Callithrix jacchus: one gene and its partner. The main gene of each other region encodes a partner of the protein of the gene in region 2 in a complex. Links are inferred from orthologs where the notes say so. Each region holds a gene or a part of one and is shown on either strand. Other genes may lie near its edges.

What was found.
Region 1: the proteins of FUZ (region 2) and CPLANE2 are in contact, whole or in part, in a cryo-EM structure (PDB 7Q3E), measured with the Mus musculus proteins. The link is inferred for Callithrix jacchus from reciprocal best matches to the Homo sapiens genes FUZ and CPLANE2. Residues at the interface, in NP_081652.2 of Mus musculus: Arg26, Arg35, Ile109, Val110, Lys126, Glu127, Arg129, Ala130, Tyr132, Cys133, Asp136, Gln215, Ala216, Ala217, Arg218, Asp219, Tyr220, Pro221, Tyr223, Pro232, Leu238, Thr239, Leu240, Leu241, Arg242, Pro255, Leu256, Gly257, Gln258, Pro261; in NP_001074643.1 of Mus musculus: Glu36, Gly38, Leu39, Leu40, Glu41, Arg42, Val83, His84, His85, Glu86, Thr88, Gly89, Ile90, Gln91, Thr92, Thr93, Val94, Lys124, Phe125, Met128, Glu134.

Annotation. Positions count from the first base shown.
Region 1 is NC_133508.1:53,550,902-53,560,238, forward strand, and holds the start of CPLANE2 (ciliogenesis and planar polarity effector 2), read right to left. Parts: upstream 6,238-9,337; 5' UTR 6,105-6,237; coding exon 6,102-6,104; exon of another isoform or gene 6,064-6,101; intron 5,833-6,063; coding exon 5,682-5,832; intron 2,637-5,681; coding exon 2,586-2,636; exon of another isoform or gene 2,504-2,585; coding exon of another isoform or gene 2,477-2,503; coding exon 2,369-2,476; exon of another isoform or gene 2,323-2,368; coding exon of another isoform or gene 2,277-2,322; intron 2,161-2,276; coding exon 2,008-2,160; intron 1,397-2,007; coding exon 1,272-1,396; intron 728-1,271; coding exon 591-727; intron 356-590; coding exon 106-355; 3' UTR 1-105. UniProt on the Homo sapiens protein: Required for efficient primary cilia initiation, regulating a late step in cilia initiation. Plays a role in the final maturation of the mother centriole and ciliary vesicle that allows extension of the ciliary axoneme.
Region 2 is NC_133523.1:43,584,796-43,594,401, forward strand, and holds the start of FUZ (protein fuzzy homolog), read right to left. Parts: upstream 5,307-9,606; 5' UTR 5,134-5,306; coding exon 5,023-5,133; intron 4,764-5,022; coding exon 4,642-4,763; intron 4,383-4,641; coding exon 4,298-4,382; intron 3,377-4,297; coding exon 3,308-3,376; intron 3,129-3,307; coding exon 3,024-3,128; intron 1,040-3,023; coding exon 842-1,039; intron 713-841; coding exon 617-712; intron 297-616; coding exon 190-296; intron 113-189; coding exon 48-112; intron 1-47. UniProt on the Homo sapiens protein: Probable planar cell polarity effector involved in cilium biogenesis. May regulate protein and membrane transport to the cilium.

The DNA of each region.
Region 1 (9,337 bases), on a different chromosome or scaffold from region 2:
CATGCTACCCAGTCCTCCAGACTGGATTCATGCTCCTGCCCCAGCCTCAGGCTCTGTGTTGAGACCTGAGGGTTGAGGGCAGGATCACAGGCACCCACTCATGATTCATCCAGGAGCACTCTCTAGGGGGTTGGGAAGCAGGCCAGCCGCCACCTGGTCTTGGTGCCACAGCTGCTCAGCGAGGCCGTTGAGTATGTGAGCAATGTCAGCCAGCCCAGCCCGCCCATCCAGCGTGCGCCCATCAGCCAGCCGCCGCCCTGGCACACTCTTCACCCGTAGCAGGGGCAGCTCCCAGGCCTGCCGGAAGGCTATGAGGTCCCGCTCAGGCACGTCTGTGTGCATGTACTGGTCAAATCTGGAGGAGGGTCAAGAAGCCTGGCCAGGTGCCTCTGCACACACCCCCATCAGACCCCGCCTCTCCCTCCACCCTGGAGCCCGCACCCAGGAGCCGGGCTAGCCATGTGGTACCCTTTAAGTAAAAGCCCAGGTGCTGAATTCCACACCTGGGCAGAGGCCAGGCCCCTGATCCCCTTGCTCCCTGACTTGCCAAGGGTGGCCTCTGACAGCCCCAGAGGCTACCCAAAGGATACTTGGAGCCGATGACCATCCTGATGACACCAGGGGCTTCACCTGCTATGCGGGCCAGCTGTCCAGGGAGGTCTTCAAAGGAGGCACGGTCAGTGAAGGAGAAAAGGAAGAGGAAGGCATCTGTGTTCTCCTTGCAAGCCTGGCGACGGAGAGGCATATAACTGTGACACCCTCCCATCAGCTGCAGGGCCCTGAGAAGAATCGGGAATAATCCCTCCTTTCACAGGTTGGGAAACTGAGGCCCAGAGCACGATGTGGCTGGTCCTAGGACGAGCATGGGCTGGGACTCAGTCCCCAGTGCCAGCTCAGATCTCTATCTCCCAAGGCAGGGCCTTGAGCTCTTTTTTTTTTTTTGAGATGGAGTTTTGCTCCTGTTGCCCGGGCTGGAGTGCAATGCTGACTGCAACCTCCACCTCCCAGGTTCAAGTGATTCTCCTGCCTCAGCCTCCCAAGTAGCTGGGATTACAGGCGCCTGGCTAACTTTTTGTATCATTAGTAGAGACAGGGTCTCTCCATGTTGGTCAGGCTGGTCTCAAACTTTCAACCTCAGGTGATCTGCCCGCGTCAGCCTCCCAAAGTGCTGGGATTCCAGGCGTGAGCCACCATACCCAGCCAGTGCCTTGAGCTCATTAATACCCAATCGGCCCCTGGCAGAGCCCACCCAGGCCCACATGCCTGCTCACCGGCAGCATGTGATCGAACTTTTTGAGCGCAGACTCTCCACAGTCCCAGAACTCAAAACGAAACATGACGACACGGTCGCTGGCCTGCAGCTTGGCTGGCCAAAATACCACGGTGGTCTGGATGCCTGAGGGGAGCCAGGATCAGCCATTCAGCATGGGAGGGGTGGAGATGGAGGACTGGGGGCAGGAAGGAATAGGAGGAGATACGTCCCTGCCCTGAGGGGTCCTCCCTTTGATGAGGGAGGCACAGTCCTTGACCTGGGAGAATTCTCAGTCTGATGGGAGAAACAGAGACTGGCCCTGGAGGAGCCTCTGGCATAGCAGGAAGATGTAGTCCCAGCCATGGCAAAGCAGTTTTGTTTGTATATGCAGGGAGACCAAAGGTCCCAGGACACTGGGCATGTTTCAACAGGGTGGATCAATCAACATCCAGTGGTAAGAAACAAGAAAGCAAGATTAGCATTTCCTGAGTATCTACCTTGAGCCTAGCTTGATGCTAGGGATGTTACCACCAGTACCTCTAGCAACCACACGACAACCCTGTGGGGTAGGTACTAGTATCCCCTTGGGACTGAGAAGCCCATGGAGGCTCAGAGAGGTGGAGTGACTTTCCAAGGCTACAGAGTAGGATGTGGAGCTGGGTATCGACCCTGGCTTGTGTGGTCCAGGGCCAGGTTCTTGCCCCCACCACAAGGAGGGCCTCCCAGGATGGGCAAAGGATTGAGGTTGCACTCACCGGGGGTCTCGTGGTGTAGCACAGGCACCTCCAGGCCAGCCAGCTTGGCCACCAGCGCCGTCTTGCCCACACCACTCTTCCCGGACACGAAGATCTTGTAGCTGGCAGTGTCAATGGACACAGGCGGTGGCAGCACTGGCCGCTCAAGCAGTCCTGGAGCAAAGAGGGAGCCAGGCAGAGTCAAGGGGTGCCGTGGTTTGAAGGTGTCCCCCAAAGTTCACGTATGAGAAACTTAATCCCCGATGCAACAGTGTTGAGGTAGGGCCTACCAAGAGGTGATGAGCTCAAGTGTTCTACCCTCACAAATGGATCCATGTTGTTATTGAAGGAGTGGGTTTGTTATAAAAGCCAGTTTGGGCACCTCTTGCTGTCTTGCTGTCACACTTCTGCCTTCTGCCACGGGATGGCACAGCATGAAGGCCCTTTCCAGATGATGCTGCCATGCTCTTACACTTCCCAGCCTCCAGAACTGTGAGCCAAATAAACTTCTATTCATTATAAATTTCCCAGAGGAGGCTGGGTGCGGTGGTTTACACCTGTAATCTCAGCACTTTGGGAGGCCAATGTGGGCAGAGGACCTGAGTTCAGGAGTTGGAGACCAGCCTGGCCAACATGGTGAAACTCCATCTCTATATAAAAAAAGAAGTACAAAAAATTAGCTGGGGGTAGGGGTGGGTGCCTGCAATCTCAGCTACTTGGGAGGCTAAGCCAGGAGAATCACTTGAACCTGGGAAGTGGAAGTTGCAGTGAGCCGAGATCATATCACTGCACTCCAGCCTGGGCAACAGAGTGAGACTCCATCTCAAAAAAATATAAATAAACAACCAAGAGTGTGTTTATTCTGTTATAGCAGCATAAAATGGACTAAGATAGGGGGTCAGTCCTGTACGTTCCCCATCAGATGCTAGGCTGGACAATCTTCATTTATTTATTTTTTTCTTTACCTTTGTTTTGTTTGAGATGGAGTCTCGCTCTGTTGCCCAGGCTGGAATGCAGTGGCGCGATCTCTACTAAAATATAAAAATTTGCTGGGCGTGGTGGCATGCATCTGTAATCCCTGTACTCGGGAGACTGAGGCAGGAGAATTGCTTGAACCCAGGAGGCAGAGGTTGCAGTGAGCCAAGATCGCGCCACTGCACTCCAGCCTGGCGCCTAGTGACAGAGCAGGACTCTGTCTCAAAAAAAAAAAAAAAAAAAAAAGAGATGAGGTTTCACTGTGTTAGCCAAGATGGTCTCAATCTCCTGACCTTGTGATCCACCAGCCTTGGCCTCCCAAAGTACTGGGATTACAGGCATGAGCCACTGTGCCCGGCCACCTTTTATTTTTAATAGGAATGGGGGTTTTACTATGTTGCTCAGGCTGGTCTTGAACTCCTGGGCTCAAGCACTCTTCCCACCTTGCCTGACCTCCCAGAGTGCTAGGACTATACCACACACAGCCAAGGACAACCTCATTTCTAATGGCTTCTTCAGGGCTAACCAACCATCTGTGGTTCTTTTTTTTTTTTTTTTTTTTTGAGACGGAGTTTCACTCTTGTTGCCCAGGCTGGAGTGCAATGGTGTGATCTCGGCTCACCGCAACCTCCGCCTCCCGGGTTCAAGTGATTCTCCTACCTCAACCACAGAGTAGCTGAGATTACAGGCAGACACCACCATGCCCGGCTAATTTTGTATTTTTAGTAGAGATGGGATTTCTCCACGTTGGTCAGGCTGGTCTTGAACTCCCTACCTCAGGTGATCCGCCCACCTTGGCCTCCCAAAGTGCTGGGATTACAGGTGTGAGCCACCGCACCCGGCCCCATCTGTCGTTCTTAATACTCATCCCAATTTTACAGAAGTCTGAGATACAAAGAGACTGGCCTAAGTTATAGTCAGTCTGTTGATATTTACTAGCAGCTCTCAACGTTTGTTGTGGGGCCTGCATGACAACCACTGAACGACACATTCAAGTGTTAACAAAACCCCCCAGATGTCTGCAGGTAAAGTAAAAACACAAAAATTCAGGGCCAGGTGCAGTGGCTCACGCCTATAATCCCAGCACTTTGGGAGGCTGAGGCGGGTGGATCACGAGATCAGGAGATCGAGACCATCCTGGTCAACAAGGTGAAACCCCATCTCTACTAAAAATACAAAAATTAGCTGGGCATGGTGGTGCGCACCCTACTCGGGAGGCTGAGGCAGGAGAATTGCTTGAACCCAGGAGGCGGAGGTGGCGGTGAGCCGAGATCGTGCCATTGCACTCCAGTCTGGGTAACAACAGCAAAACTCTGTCTAAAAAAAAAAAAAAATTCAAAGCCACCACTGCCATTCCTCTATGTTATGGCTGCTTGATCCTATCTGTGGCATAGATAATATGGTCAGTGGGTTCTATGATGTGCCCAGAAAATCAGCTCAACCTTCACTCAATTCTCTTCCACTCAACACAAACACAAAATGAATACAGTAACCGCCAACCTTCCGTGAACACCCACTGCATGCCACAGCCTGCTCAGTGTGTTACAAACACACTCCTTAGGAATTTCCCCAGCAACTCTATGGGGTAAATACTATGATTATCCCCATTTTACAGAGGTGGGACTTGAGGCTAGAGTTCACTTATTCCCAGTCACACAGCTAGGCAGTGGTGGAGCCTGGGTCACTTGCCTGGGTGTGCGTGACCCCAAATGCAGTGCTACCAGCCATCATGGGATTAGAGGGACAGTAGCCATATTAGAGGGTTTTTTTTTTTTTTTTTTTTTTTTTTTGAGAGTTTTGCTCCTGTCGCCCAGGCTGGAGTGCAATGGCTCCATCTAGGGTCACTGCAACCTCCACCTCCCAGGTTCAAGTGATTCTCCTGCCTCAGCCTCCAGAGTAGCTGGGATTGTAAGTGCCTGCTACCATGCCCAGCTAATTTTTGTATTTTTAGTAAAGACAGGGTTTCGCCATGTTGGCCAGGCTGGTCTTGAACCCCTGAACTCAGGTGATCTACCCTCCTCAGCCTCCCAAAGTGCTCGGATTACAGGTGTGAGCCACTGCGCCCGGCCTTCCAGAGGGTCATATTTTCAATCTAGAGCAATTTCTTTAAAAAAACACACTGTTGACATATTCACAAATTTTGGTTCTAGCTATCTCACTCTCTGGTCTGAAGCCTTCTGGTGCCTTGCTTCTCCTGGCCAGAACTGGACTCCATAGCTCATTCCAGGTACCTCTGGCAGCCTCACAGCCGGGTCCTGCGTGGGCAAGTCAGCTTCACCGTGGGGAACACCAGTGTGTCTCATCCCAGAGACAGCAGGACATGGAAGTGGCTCACCTCTACTTATTAGGGTATGATATTAGCCAAGTCTGTACCATGTGCTGTTGAGAGGTTAAATGGGAGTGCACTGTGTAAAGTGCCCAAAAGAAGCCCTGACACGAGGGGAGGGCTCAGTCAACTGCATATCTGGTGACAGTGGTTGCTGACAGGGTTTCTGCTGTTTCCATGTTCCTGGCTGTGATGATGGAATTATCTCTAAGGAGATTTAGGGGTGGGGGTCCCAGGGATAGGGCTTTCAGTTTCCCAGGCTGAAGACTGTTGAAGACTGCAGTGGAGCAGGCCCTCACTGTCCTGCCTCTCTGCTCCACTCAGGGAGCAACAGATGATACTCTGCTCCCCAGGGAGACAAGTAACAGGCTGGAGGAAAGGGGGAGGCACTTACCAAACACCCGCCGGCGGTTCTTGCGCAGAATGCAACCCAGGTACTCCTTGCCCTCGGCACTCTCGTGCCAGTTTGGGACAACCACCGAACCGGGCACGGGAGGTCTGGCCATGGCTGGGCACCGCGATGGGGTAGGGAGGTGGCAGGAATGCTGAGAGCAGGCAGTGGAAAGAGGGGTGACCGTCCCAAGCCGGTCCTGAGATCCCTCTTAACTGCCCTCTGACTCTCCCGGGGGACCCCAGAAACTGCGGTCCTACAGCCCCCTCTCTCCTCCGCAGTGATCCCTGGGGACAGTCATCCCATTACTGCCCAGGGAGGGTATTTACACAGCCCGTCTCCCCTTGTCACCTCCGGGGGTCAGACGCCCCTGCTTCTCCTCTACCTTCTAGATCCCGATTCCCGGGGCCACCTAGCCCTCACCATCAGCAGTCCCGGCGGCGAACCGAACCGGGTGCCGAAGGCCCCTTTAAACGCCCACCCGCGCTCCAGCCGTCCCAGCCCACCGGTCCCGCTTCCGCCCTGCCTGCGTCGGGCTTCGGCGCGCGCTGCCAGCTCCGGCGCGGGTGCTCGCGGCGCATGTGCGGAGGTTGTTGCCATGGAGATGCCGGAGGCTGGGTTGGGCGGGTTCCGGGCGGCGTTCGTCCCTCCTACAATGTCCGCAGCCAGCGCGGCGCGATGGCACTGGGACAAGGCCTTTTCCTCTGGGTCGTGGATCCTCTTCTCTATTACTACGTCCGATCCCCAGTCGTTCTTCCAAAACATCATGAAACGCCCGCTTCTCCAGGAGCCTTCCTTGCCTATGTCTCAGTTTCTTCTTCTATAACGTGGACGTAACATGTTATTCCCTCCATAGCTGTGCTCCATATGTTTGATTATGACTGTTGCTATTATTAATATTATTGCTCTATTAATTCTGCTCAGCAGGACCTCGAGATGACTTAAACACATCTGGCTTCACTGATGGGGACACACACCAGCTCAGAGAGGTCAAGGGACTTGGCTCAAGTTTTTAAAAATGAGTCAGAGGCCCACTGGATTTTACTTTTCATTCATTCATTCATTCAACAAATACTGAGCACCTACTATGTTCCTGGCCTATTCTAAGGGCTGGGGATACAACGGCCAACAAGAAGTCCCTGCCCTCCTGGAGCCGACTTTTCAGCTCTGAACCTCTGAGCGCCTCTCCACTGTTCCAGCACTGGACACCAGGCCTGTTACCCAGAAGGTGGGTGCCCAGTATATGCCCATTGGTTGGAAAGGGTGCAGGTGGGTCATTACTGAGAGTTTGTCTATTACATTTGATTTTTTACCACTATCTTCTTGCAATGCCTTCACGTAGGGCAAATCACTGTTTTGAAAGAAATAATCTAGGAATTAAGCTTTACTGAAGGCCACTTAAGTGCCAGACAGTTGGGGCTTTACAGAGTCACCTGATTTAATTCTATAAACAAACCTGTGTAAATTGTATTACCCTCTTTCACTGATGACAACATTCAGAAACATAACATGACTTGTCTGAGGTCACACGACACAGCTAGTCAGTGTGAAAATGACTCAGAACTCACAGCTGGCTGGTATGGTGGCTCATGCTTGTAATCCCAGCACTTTGGGAAGCCAAGGCAGACAGATTGCTTAAGCTCAAGAGTTCAAGACCAACCTGGGCAACATAGTAAGACCCTGTCTCTACCAAAAATACAAAAATTAGCCGGGCAAAGTGGTGCACGCCTGAAGTCCCAGCTACTCAGAGGCTGAGATGGGAGGACTGCTTGAGCCTGGGAAGTGGAGGTTGCAGTGAGCTGAGATCATGCCACTGCACTTCAGTGCACTTCAGCCTGAGTGACAGAGCCAGACCCTGTCAAAAAAAAAAAGAACCCACGGTTACCTGACTCTAAAGTACTTATCTTTTCTGCCAGTTTGGGTTTTTGTGTATTTTGTTTGTTTGTTTTGTTTTGTTGAGTCTTCCTCTGTCGCCCAGGCTGGAGTACAGTGGCACAATCTTGGCTCACAGCAACCTCCACCTCCCAGGTTCAAGCTGTTCTCCTGCCTCAGCCTCCCGAGTAGCTGGGATTACCAGCATGCACCACCATGACCAGCTAATTTTTGTATTTTTAGTAGAGACGGGATTTCACCATATTGCGCAGTCTGGTCTCAAACTCCTGACCTCAAGTGATCTGCCCACGATGGCCTCCCAGTGCTGGGATTACAGGTGTGAGCCACTGTGCCCAGCCGGGTTTTGTTTTTAAAACTTTATCCCCAGCCACTAGAAGGGCTGTCCCTAGGGAAGCAGAAGCAGCCAGAGGACCACAAACTCACAGATTTTTTTTTTTTTTTTGAGACGGAGTCTCACTCTGTCACCCAGGCTGGAGTGGAATAGTGGCGCGTTCTCAGCTCACTGTAACCACTGCCTCCTGGGTTCAGACGATTCTCCTATGTTAGCCTCCTGAGTAGCTGGGATTACAGGCGAGTGCCACCACACCTGGCTAATTTTTGCATTTTTAGTAGAGATGGGGTTTCACCATGTTGGTCAGGCTGGTCTCAAACTCCTGACCTCATGATCTGCCTGCCTCGGCCTCCAATAGTGCTGGGATTACAGCTGTGAGCCACCGCGCCCAGCTAACTCACAAATTTTTTTTTTTTTTGAGGCGGAGTTTCGCTGTTGTTACCCAGGCTGGAGTGCAATGGTGCGATCTCGGCTCACCGCAGCCTCCACCTCCTGGGTTCAGGCAATTCTCCTGCCTCAGCCTCCTGAGTAGCTGGAATTACAGGCACGCGCCACCATACCCAGCTAATTTTTTGTATTTTTAGTAGAGATGGGGTTTCACCATGTTGACCAGGATGGTCTCGAGCTCTTGACCTCGTGATCCACCCGCCTCGGCCTCCCAGAGTGCTGGGATTACCGGCTTGAGCCACCACGCCCGGCCTAACTCACAAATTTTTTAAGGACAATTATGTCTAAGAGAGGGGACGTGTAAGACAAGGTGCTTTCTCTCAACTTGCTCACTCTGTGGCCAGGCAGAACAAGACAACCATTCCTACAGGATTCTGCAGCTGGAATCCTTTGCCCATATTCCCAGGTCACATGGTTCCCCTTCCTGCAGCTGTCACCACATCTACCCAGTCAGGGAGATTCACAGCTGTGCAGAGCTCTCTCCATGGGCCAGGAGTGACTCAGTGGCAGGGCTCAGATCTGAATTATCTCTGGGTTTCCAGACTTCACATCCAGCCCTGTCCTTGGCTTGTGGAGGGTTCAGTGAGCATGTGAGAAAATGAACCGGCTTGGCAGAATGAGCGTGCCTGTTAATCTGGAAGCCGGAGAAGATGTAAAGTCATCTTGGGGCTGGGCACAGTGGCTCCTGCCTGCAATCCCAGCACTTTGGGAGGTTGAGGTGGGCAGATCACTTGAGGTCAGGAGTTCAAGACCAGCCTGGGCAACATAGTGAAACCCATCTCTACTAAAAATTCAAAAATTATCTAGCTGTGGTGGCATGCACCTGTAATCCCAACTACTCGGCAGGCTGAGGCAGGAGAATCTCCTGAACCCAGGAGGCAGAGGTTGCAGTGAGCCAAGATTACAGCACTGCAGTCCAGCCTGGGTGACAGAGAAAGACTTCGGCTCAAAAACAAACAAGGGCACCGGCCTCACCGCCAATCCCAGT
Region 2 (9,606 bases):
CCTCCTCGGCCCGCGCCCCTCCTGACCCTGTCCCTGCCCTCAGTCACCTTTATTCCCCAAGGGCTCCACAGTGAAGAGGCAGCGTTTCAGTTCCAGATGGAGGAGCAGCAGCCTGTGGGAAAGGGAAGGGATGTCATGGCTAGGGAAGAGGACATGATCCCCAACACAATCCCTCCATCCGAGCCCTACCCGAGGATGTCTGTGTGGAGTGGGAAGCCACTGGGCAGCGCTCGGGGTCCCAGCGGCAGGCAGGCCCGCAGCGGGTCCAGCAGCGGCTGCCACCAGCGCTCCAGAAGCTGCGGGGGGGAGGGGGGGGTGTGGTCATGGGAAGGCGGAGCCGGCGGGGGGCGGGGGGAAGAGGCACGAAGGGGCGCGGTCAATCGGGAGGGGTGGGGCGTACACGAAAAGAGGAGGGCGGAGGGCAGAGGGGACTAGGGAAGGGGCGAGGCTTGCAAGCACAGAGGCCACGCGTGATTGGCCGATCTTGGGGAATTGATTGGCGCGCAGTCCAGGACGGGTCCGGGAAAAAAGCCACTGGCAGGGCAGCGTGGTGGGGTAAGGGCCTTGCGGGTAGAGAGTGTCCTAAGGGGGAAAGCGGGACGTGGAGCGGGTTCACCTGTGGATACAACTGGCTGAGGGGTGGGCTCGGTCCGCAGAGCAGACACAGCTCCAGGCTTGGCAGCAGCGTCAGCATCAGGAGCCGGTGTGGGATCTGAAGCAGGGCACAGGCTGGGACTGACCGCGGCCCCGGCCCTTTCCATCGCAGATCCCGCCTCCTCGCGACTTGGTCCGCAGGTCCCATCCCTCCGCTCACCTCCCCCTGCCCGCCCCACCCACTCACCGTGGGGCTCCCGTGCGGCAGGTACACCGGGTAGTCGCGAGCGGTCTGCGGCGGCAGGGACCCCACCAGCCAGGGGAGCAGCACGGCCTCGGGCATCCCCAGCCGCCACCAACCCTCTGTTGCCGCCACCACCCGGCCCGACACCACCAGACTGACGAAGGCCGTGTCCGCTGCCTCAGCGAACCCGGAGAGGGCTTCCTGGGTAAGGGAGGCAGGAGGACCAGGAGTCAGCAGAGACGCACAGGCGGCGGCAGCGACTTCCCAGGTGGGCAGGGGATGGACAGAGACCCACGGCCAGCCGAGCTCGCGGAGTGGCCATGCTGCTGCACCTCACCCTCTCAGAGCCTGAGTTCCTTCATCTTCACACGAAGTCACATCCCCAGCTCACACTGTGAAGTCTGATTAAACACCTCGCCTGGGCCGGACCTCGGTGGCTCACGCCTGTAATCCCAGCAGTTTGGGAGGCCAAGGCGGGTGGATCACGAGGTCAAGAGATCAAGACCATCCTGGCCAACAGAATAAAACCCCATCTCTACTAAAAATACAAAAATTAGCTGGGTGTGGTGGTGCACACCTGTAGTTCCAGCTACGTGGGAGGCAGAGGCACGAGAATCGCTTGAACCTGGGAGGCGGAGGTTGCAGTGAGCCGAGACTGTGCCACCGCACCCCAGCCTGGTGACAGAGCGAGACTCCATCTTAAAAAAAAACCGCCTAGCCTTAGTGGGCAAACTGAAGCTAATTAACGTAACTGCAGCAGCTACCGTTCATAGAGTCCTGTTACATGCCCGGTAAGCACCATCAGCAACGTGGAGAAGCCAAGTCACCTGCTGAGAAGTCACACTGCTGGGAGGTGCCCACACCAGGCAAGTCTGCAAGAGCGGTATTTAAGCAGTGGAAGCTAGAGATCCGAGAGGTGGGAGGAAGAGCATGTACCCAGACTGGAAAGTTGTTGGGATCTCTGGGGCCCCTGAGGCAGCTGGATGAAGGTAGATTGTGGATTTAGCAACAGGCTAGGGGGCGCCATGTGCCACAGGCCTTCAAACACAAGGCTGAGGGGCTGGACCTGGTCCTTGGGAAGGTGGAGGCTGCCAGAGGGCTGTCAGCAGGAAAGGGGTAGGGCCAGCTCTGGGTATAGTAGGATTCTTCTGGTGGCAGGCTGTGATGGCTCACACCTGTAATCCTAGCACTTTGGAGGCCAAGGTGGGAGGATTTCTTGAGCCCAGGAGTTTGAGACCAGCCTGGGCAACTTAGTGAGACAACTGTCCCCAACCCCAGCCCATCTCTTAAAAAAAAAGTAGCTGAATGTGGTGGCACGTGCCTGTAGTCTCAGCTACTGGGGAGGCTGAGATGAGAGGATCACTTGAATCTAGGAATTCAAGGTTTCAGTGAGCTATGACGGAGCCACTGCGCTCCAGCCTGGACCACAGAGCAAGATCCTATCTTAGAAAAGAGAGATAGCTAGGCACAATGGCTCATGCCTGTAATCCCAGCACTTTGGGAGGCTGAGGCAGGCAGATCACTTGAGGTCAGGAGTTTGAGACCAGCCTGGCCAACATGTCGAAACCCCATCTCTACTAAAAATACAAAAAATTAGCCAGGCGTGGCAGTAAGCATCTGTAATCCCAGCTACTCGGGAGGCTGAGGCAGAAGAATTACTTGAACCTTGGAGGCAGAGGCTGTAGTGAGCTGAGATTGTGCCATTGCACTCCAGCCTGGGCAATAAGAGTGAAACAAGAAAGAAAAAGGCCAGGCATGGTGGCTCACGCCTGTAATCCCAGCACTTTGGGAGGCCAAGGTGGGAGGATCACAAGGTCAGGAGATCGAGGCCATCCTGGCCAACATGGTGAAATACCATCCCTACTAAAAAATTAGCTGGGCATGGTGGCACACACCTGTAGTCCCAGCTACTTGGGAGGCTGAGGCAGGCGAATGGCTTGAACCCAGGAGGCAGAGACTGCAGTGAGCCGAGATCTCACCACTGCACTATAGCATGGACGACAGTGCGAGACTCTGTCTCAAAAAAAAAAAAAAGGAAAAGAAAGATTCTTCTGGGACCATGTGGGACAGGACTGGAAGCTGAGAGGATAGGAGAAGGTTGGGACAATGGTCCAGAAGAAAGAGGATGAGGACTCAGCCAGGGCCAGAGGAACAGGTGTAAGAGTTTCCATAGCATCCCCAGTACCTGCAAGAGGGTCCCCTCTGGAGGAATCACACAGTCTACACACTGGGTCAGGTCCCCGATGAGCTCCGAATCCCCTAGGAAGCTGTCGATCAGGCAGTAACTGGCCTAGCAGAGGAAGAAGGGACCAGCCTAGGATTCAGGTGGACCCAGGGCCAGGGTCAGACAACCAACTTGCCCCAAGAACCTGTGGGACCAGGCTGCCCCAGGGACTGCTGGGAACTGTAGTTTCCAAATGGCAGTGCTCAGGTATCCTAACTTCCCACCCTCATGTCCTGCAGCCTCACCCTTAAGTCCTTCTTCAGTCTCTCCACGTTGCGGATATTGGTCAGTTCTTCAAGTCCCACAAGAAGGACCTAGAAGAACCACATAAGGGGGGAAAGGGCCCTGGGCAACTGGTTCTCAGAGAGGAGGGGCTTGGACTCAAACTCCTGGGTCTGAAGGAAGAGGGGGCTGGGACTCCCACTCCTGGGTCTTGGGGGTCAAGATTCCTGGGTTCTGGCAGAGCGCGGTGGATCATGCCTGTAATCCCAGCACTTTGGGAGGCCGAGATGCACGGATCACTTGAGGTTGGGAGTTTCAAATCAGCCTAGCCAACATGGTGAAACCTCATCTCTACAAAAAATACAAAAAGGCCAGGCCTGGTGGCTCACACCTGTAATCCAAGCACTTTGGAGGCCAAGGCAGGCGGATCACCTGAGGTGGGAGTTCAAGACCAGCCTGACCAACATGGTGAAACCCCGTCTTCAAAAAACAAAAAACCCCCCAAAATTAGCTGGGCATGGTGGTATGTACCTGTAATCCCAGCTACTCAGGAAGCTGAGGCATGAGAGTCACTTGAACCTGGGAGGCAGAGGTTGCAGCGAGCCAAGATCAGGCCACTGCACTCCAGCCTGGGCAACAGAGCAAGACTCCATCTCAAAAAAAAAAAAAAAAGGCCGGGCGCGGTGGCTCAAGACTGTAATCCCAGCACTTTGGGAGGCCAAGGCGGGTGGATCACAAGGTCCAGAGATCGAGACCATCCTGGTCAACATGGTGAAACCCCGTCTCTACTAAAAATAGAAATAATTAGCTGGGCATGGTGGCGCGTGCCTGTAATCCCAGCTGCTCAGGAGGCTGAGGCAGGAGAATTGCCTGAACCCAAAAAAACATTTCTGGTTTTTGAGGGAGGAAGTGAACTTTGGTGGTCTGGACTCCTAGGTCTGAGGGAAAAGGATGCTGGATGCTGAGATCTCAGATTCCTGGTCTGGGGAGAAAAGAGGATTGGGGATTCTCACCATGGCTCCAAACACCATTTGTAGTAGTCTCTCCAGCCTCAGCTCAGAGATGCCCACCTCAGATGACAGAACAATGAGGGTGATGCTGTGGAGTGGAAGTGAGAAGGAAGAACGAGTCAAGGCCTGGGGAACCAGGAAGGGGTATGTTGGAGTCTGCCCACTGATCCTAGAATGCCAGATACATCCTCCCTCGGCCTTTCTTATAGAGAACAGCGGGGATCAAAGAGGTAACTAGCTTGCTAAAGATCCCATAGCCAAATTAACAGCTGGAAGACCTCAGAGGTCATCTTCTACAAAGACTATAACCCAGGCCCTGTCCCTGTCCCATGTTCCCGCCTGGGGACCTGTCATGGAAGCTTTTCCACACCACGGTCGTATTCTCGGTCCTTGCAGAGCTCAGCTGCACCTCCAGATTCTGCCCGAACATGTGGACTCCATTGAGGGAACCGATGACAGAGAACGGGAGCTAAGGAGGAGTTAGGGACATCAGACAGTAGCCCCCCTCCCCCGGCCATCCCCTCCTTTTTGGAACCCACGTATGCCAGCTCCCAGCCCCATCCTCTTTCCCTATGTCCTGGCAGTGTCTCTTTGGGGAACCAGGATTACTGGTCCATTGTCTCCTCGGTCCTACAAACTCAATACTGAAACTTCCCCAGCCCCTACTGCCTTGAAGACCCAAAACACCGAACCCCCTTCGGTTTAGATACAGGCGTCCAAGGCCCCACCTGCTGACGGGCGGGGGCGCCGCCGCGGCTGCTCCTGCAGAACAGGGGGACCCCGCTGGAGGCCGCGAGGCACAGCAGATGCACGGTGCCGCCCGTCCCTTCCTCCCCCATTTAGGACTCCCACCGCAGCCCCCCACGTGGGGACTGTCAGTGCCGGTCTTGGAGCATGCCGGCAATCACAGTAACTCGGCCTGTGGTCGGGAGCCGCCAGAGGGCGAGATGGGGAGCTGACTGGAACAGGATTAACTTCCCGCCTTCTTCATCCAACTCGGACCCTCAAACCCTATTTAGGCACCTCCCCCAAACCTGTTAGGTTCTCTTCCGCCCCAGCCGGAAGTTATAGTACCCCTAACAAAGATGGCGGCTAATTGAATTTGCAAAGCTTTTCAGTTTCTCCGAGGAGGTAGGGAGACCCAAGAGGCCGGATTGAAGATGATGACTGCGCAAAGGCCTTGCTTATACACCATCCTGTAGGCTTTGATGATTTACATTCTAAACGGAAAAAAACAGTTGTGCCGCGATCAAAGATTGCCACGGTCCCAAGGCGTTGCCTAGCAACCACATTCCGTCTACGTTTCCATTTTGTAGTAGTAAACAGTATGCCCTACTCAAAAGCGGCGACCGTGGGGCGTTGCCAAGCAACCACCATTCAGTCTAATTTCCATTCCCAAGGCTGTAAACGGCTGTGCCCTACTCAAAGATGGCGGCACATCGAAGTCCGACCACCCCACCTTAGGGCGAAATCTAGAAAAACACCGTCTCCCCTCCCAACTTTCGAGGGTGGTTGAGTCCGGCGAGCGTTGCCTAGTAACCAACAAAATAGATGGTTGTTTTTGTTATTAGAAAAAAGAAAACAAGGAAATCCTTTATTTTCCAGAATGATAAAAATAACATTATTTGTGCAATGAATTATGCATGATAACATACCATGTGCAATGTGAAGATATCCCATCCCCAATTTTTTTCCTAAAATACAATATAACGTACAATATTAATGTTTTCACAAATATTAGTATATCAACATTTCCATATTTTTTCCCATAAAAAGTATGTCTGTTTCATCTTAATAATGTAATTTTATAATCTATTTTATGGTTATAACAAATTGATTTGACCAATTCTGTATTGATGTACATTAGGTTGTTGAACGCCTCTGGACTAAACAGCTAGTGCCGGCCAACTAGTGACGGCCAACTAGTGACTTTTTAAGATGCCCTTGTAAATATTTTTATTATTTTATACAGGTAGTGTTTACTTATAATTATAAATGTGTTTATGATTCATTTTGCCCTTCCTCGTCCTTCTTGCAAATTAACCCATCTTTCTAGCATAATTTTTAACTTTTCTACTTCCTAAAGTACATTGTTTTCTTTCTTTTTAAGGGGGGTTGGGGGAAGGGACAGGGTCTCGCTTTGTCGCCCAGGCTGGAGTACAGTGGCGTGATCTCGGCTCGCTGCGACCTCTGCCTCCCGTGTTCAAGCGATTCTCCTGCCTCAGCCTCCTGAGTAGCTGGGATTACAGGTGTGCACCACCATGTCCGACTAATTTTTGTATTTTTTGTAGAGATGGGGTGTCACCATGTTGCCCAGGCTGCTATCAAACTCCTGGGCTCAAGGCCATCCACATTGGCCTCTCAAAGTGCGGAGACTACAGGCTGGAGCCACCACACCTGGCCTAGATATCATTTTAATCTTCCTTTATGCCTATTGATCTTTTTTTTTTTTTTTTTTGAAATGGAGTTTCGCTCTTGTTACCCAGGCTGGAGTGCAATGGCGTGATCTCAGTTCACTGCAACCTCCGCCTCCTGGGTTCAGGCAATTCTCCTCCCTCAGCCTCCCGAGTAGCTGGGATTACAGGCATGCGCCACCGTGCCCAGCTAATTTTTTGTATTTTTAGTAGAGACGGGGTTTCACCCTGTTGACCAGGATGGTCTCGATCTCTTGACCTCGTGATTCACCCGCCTTGGCCTCCCAAAGTGCTGGGATTATAGGCGTGAGCCACCGTGCCCGGCCACTTTTCTTTATATCTTTATTAAAAATTTAGTTACCCAGGCATAAAAAAGGACGGAGCTGTTCTAGATTAAAATAAACTTGAGACATGATGTCTAAATATGTGTATGGTCTTTGTCTGGATCCTGATACAAATCAAGCAGTTGTAAAAACACATTTTGGGACAATTGGAACATTCGATGACACACTTAGATGATACTAAGGAACAAGTTAATTTTGTTACAGGTGACAATGGCATACTAGTTATGTAAAAATATTTTCATAAAATTGGAAAGATGCCTGCCAAGCACACAGGGGTAAAATGATATGATTGTACTGATTTGCTTTAAAAGGCTTCAGCAAGTAAGACTCTCTCTTTTTTTTTTTTTTTTTTTGTCTTGAGACAGAGTCTCAAAAAAAAAAAAAAAAAAAAAAGCTTCAGGAGGCTGGGTGCAGTGGCTCACACCTGTAATTCTAGCACTCTAGGAGGCCAAAGCAGGTGCATCCCCTGAGGTCAGGAGTTCAAGACCAGCCTGGCCAAGAAGGTAAAACCTTGTCTCTACCAAAAATACAAACTTTTGCGGGGTGTGGTGGCGCATACCTGTAGTCCCAGCTACTTAGGAGGTTGAGGGAGGATAATCACTTCAACCCAGGAAGCAGAGGCTGCAGTGAGCCGAGACAGCACCACTGCACTCCAGCCTGGGTGACAGAGTGATATTTTTGTGGAAAAAAAAAAATGTAACATGATAAAGATAAAATGGTATATCATTGGGCTTTCTGCAAGCACTTTTCAATTGGTGAAGATTATGGTTTTTTTTTGTTGTTGAGATGGAATCTGGCTCTATCGCCAGGCTGGAGGGCAGTGGCACGATGTCGCCTCACTGCAACTTCCCCCTCCCAGTTTCAAGCGATTCTCCTACCTCAGCCTCCTGAGTCGCTGGGATTACAGACACCCACCACTATGCCGGCTAATTTTTGTATTTTTAGTAGAGACGAGATTTCACCATATTGGCCAGGATGGTCTCGAGCTCCTGACCTCATGATCTGCGCACCTCGGTTCCCAAAGTCATGGGATTACAGGCGTAAACCACGATGTGCGGCCCTGGTCAGGTTCCTTTCTATTAAAAGAAATATACGAGGCAGGTGGATCACGAGGTCAAGATATCGAGACCATCCTGGTCAACATGGTGAAACCCCGTCTCTACTAAAAATACAAAAATTAGCTGGGCATGGTGATGCGTGCCTGTAATCCCAGCTACTCAGGAGGCTGAGGCAGGAGAATTGCCTGAACCCAGGAGGCGGAGGTTGCGGTGAGCCAAGATCGCGCCATTGCACTCCAGCCTGGGTAACAAGAGCGAAACTCCGTTTCAAAAAAAAAGAAATATAAAGTAGCAGGACACCATGGCTCACGCCTGTAATCCCAGCTCTTTGGGAGGCCAAGGCGGGAGTATCGCTTCAACCCAAGAGTTTGAAACAGGCCAGGGCAACATAGCGAGACCCCACCTCTACAAAAAAATTAAAAATTAGTCAGGAGTGGTGGTGCGTGGCTGTGGTCCTAGCTGCTGCAGAGGCAGGACAGTGGCTTCAGTGTGAGAAATAGAGGCTGCAATGAGCCAAGATTGCAATGGCCACTGCACTCCAGCCTGCACAACAGAGACCCTGTCTCAAAAAATAAAATTTAAAAAAAAACAATGAAGTGTTTCTATTTTTCTATACTGTTATTCATCGGTAAGATTTGTGTAGTACATTTCTGTCAACAAACACGCTAGATTTTTCCAGTTCGTGGTATATGTTTCAACTTGCTTTATGCAATCTTTTGCGGACAAATTAATATTTTACGTATTCTGACTTTGCTGAGAAACTTCATGGCAGTCATTAGGATTTTTTTCCTTCAGCTATTTTCGTGTTTTATTTGTTGCACTTATGTTCTTAATCCACCTGGAATGTATTTATGTTCTAGGCTAGTTTCTGGCTCCTCGCCCGGAAAACAACGCTCAGGTGTTGCTTAGTAACCCTTGCACTTGGGTTCGTGTTCAGCTTCTTTTCAGGAGGAAAACTACTATCCTCCCTTCCAAGTTAAGGGCAACCTTAAAGCGTTGCCTAGTAACCTCGTTTCCGCCATTGCGATTGGACCCTTCTCGCGTCCCTCCCCCCAGTCCCCGCGCACGAAAGAACAGAACCAGAAACTTAATCTCATGGTTAGAAAACAAGGGCAGCGGGCCGGGCGCAGTGGCTCACGCCTGTAATCCCAGCACTTTAGGAATCCAAGGCTGGCGAATCACTTGAGGTCAGGAGTTCGAGACAGCCTGGTCAACATGGTGAAACTCCGTCTCTACGAAAAATACAAAAATTAGCGGGGCATGGTGGTGGGCATCTGTAATCCCAGCTCCTGGGGAGGCTGAGGCTGAGGCGGAGCTTGTAGTAAGCCGAGATCGCGCCGTTCCCCTCCAGGGTGGGCGACAGAGTGAGAGTCCGTCTCGTGGGGGGGGGGGGGGGGGGAAAGGATAAAGGAAAACGAAAACAAGGGCAGCGTTAGTGTTGCATAGCAACCAGGTCTCCTGCCCCTCCCATTGAGCTAATAGGCGGGCCCAGACGC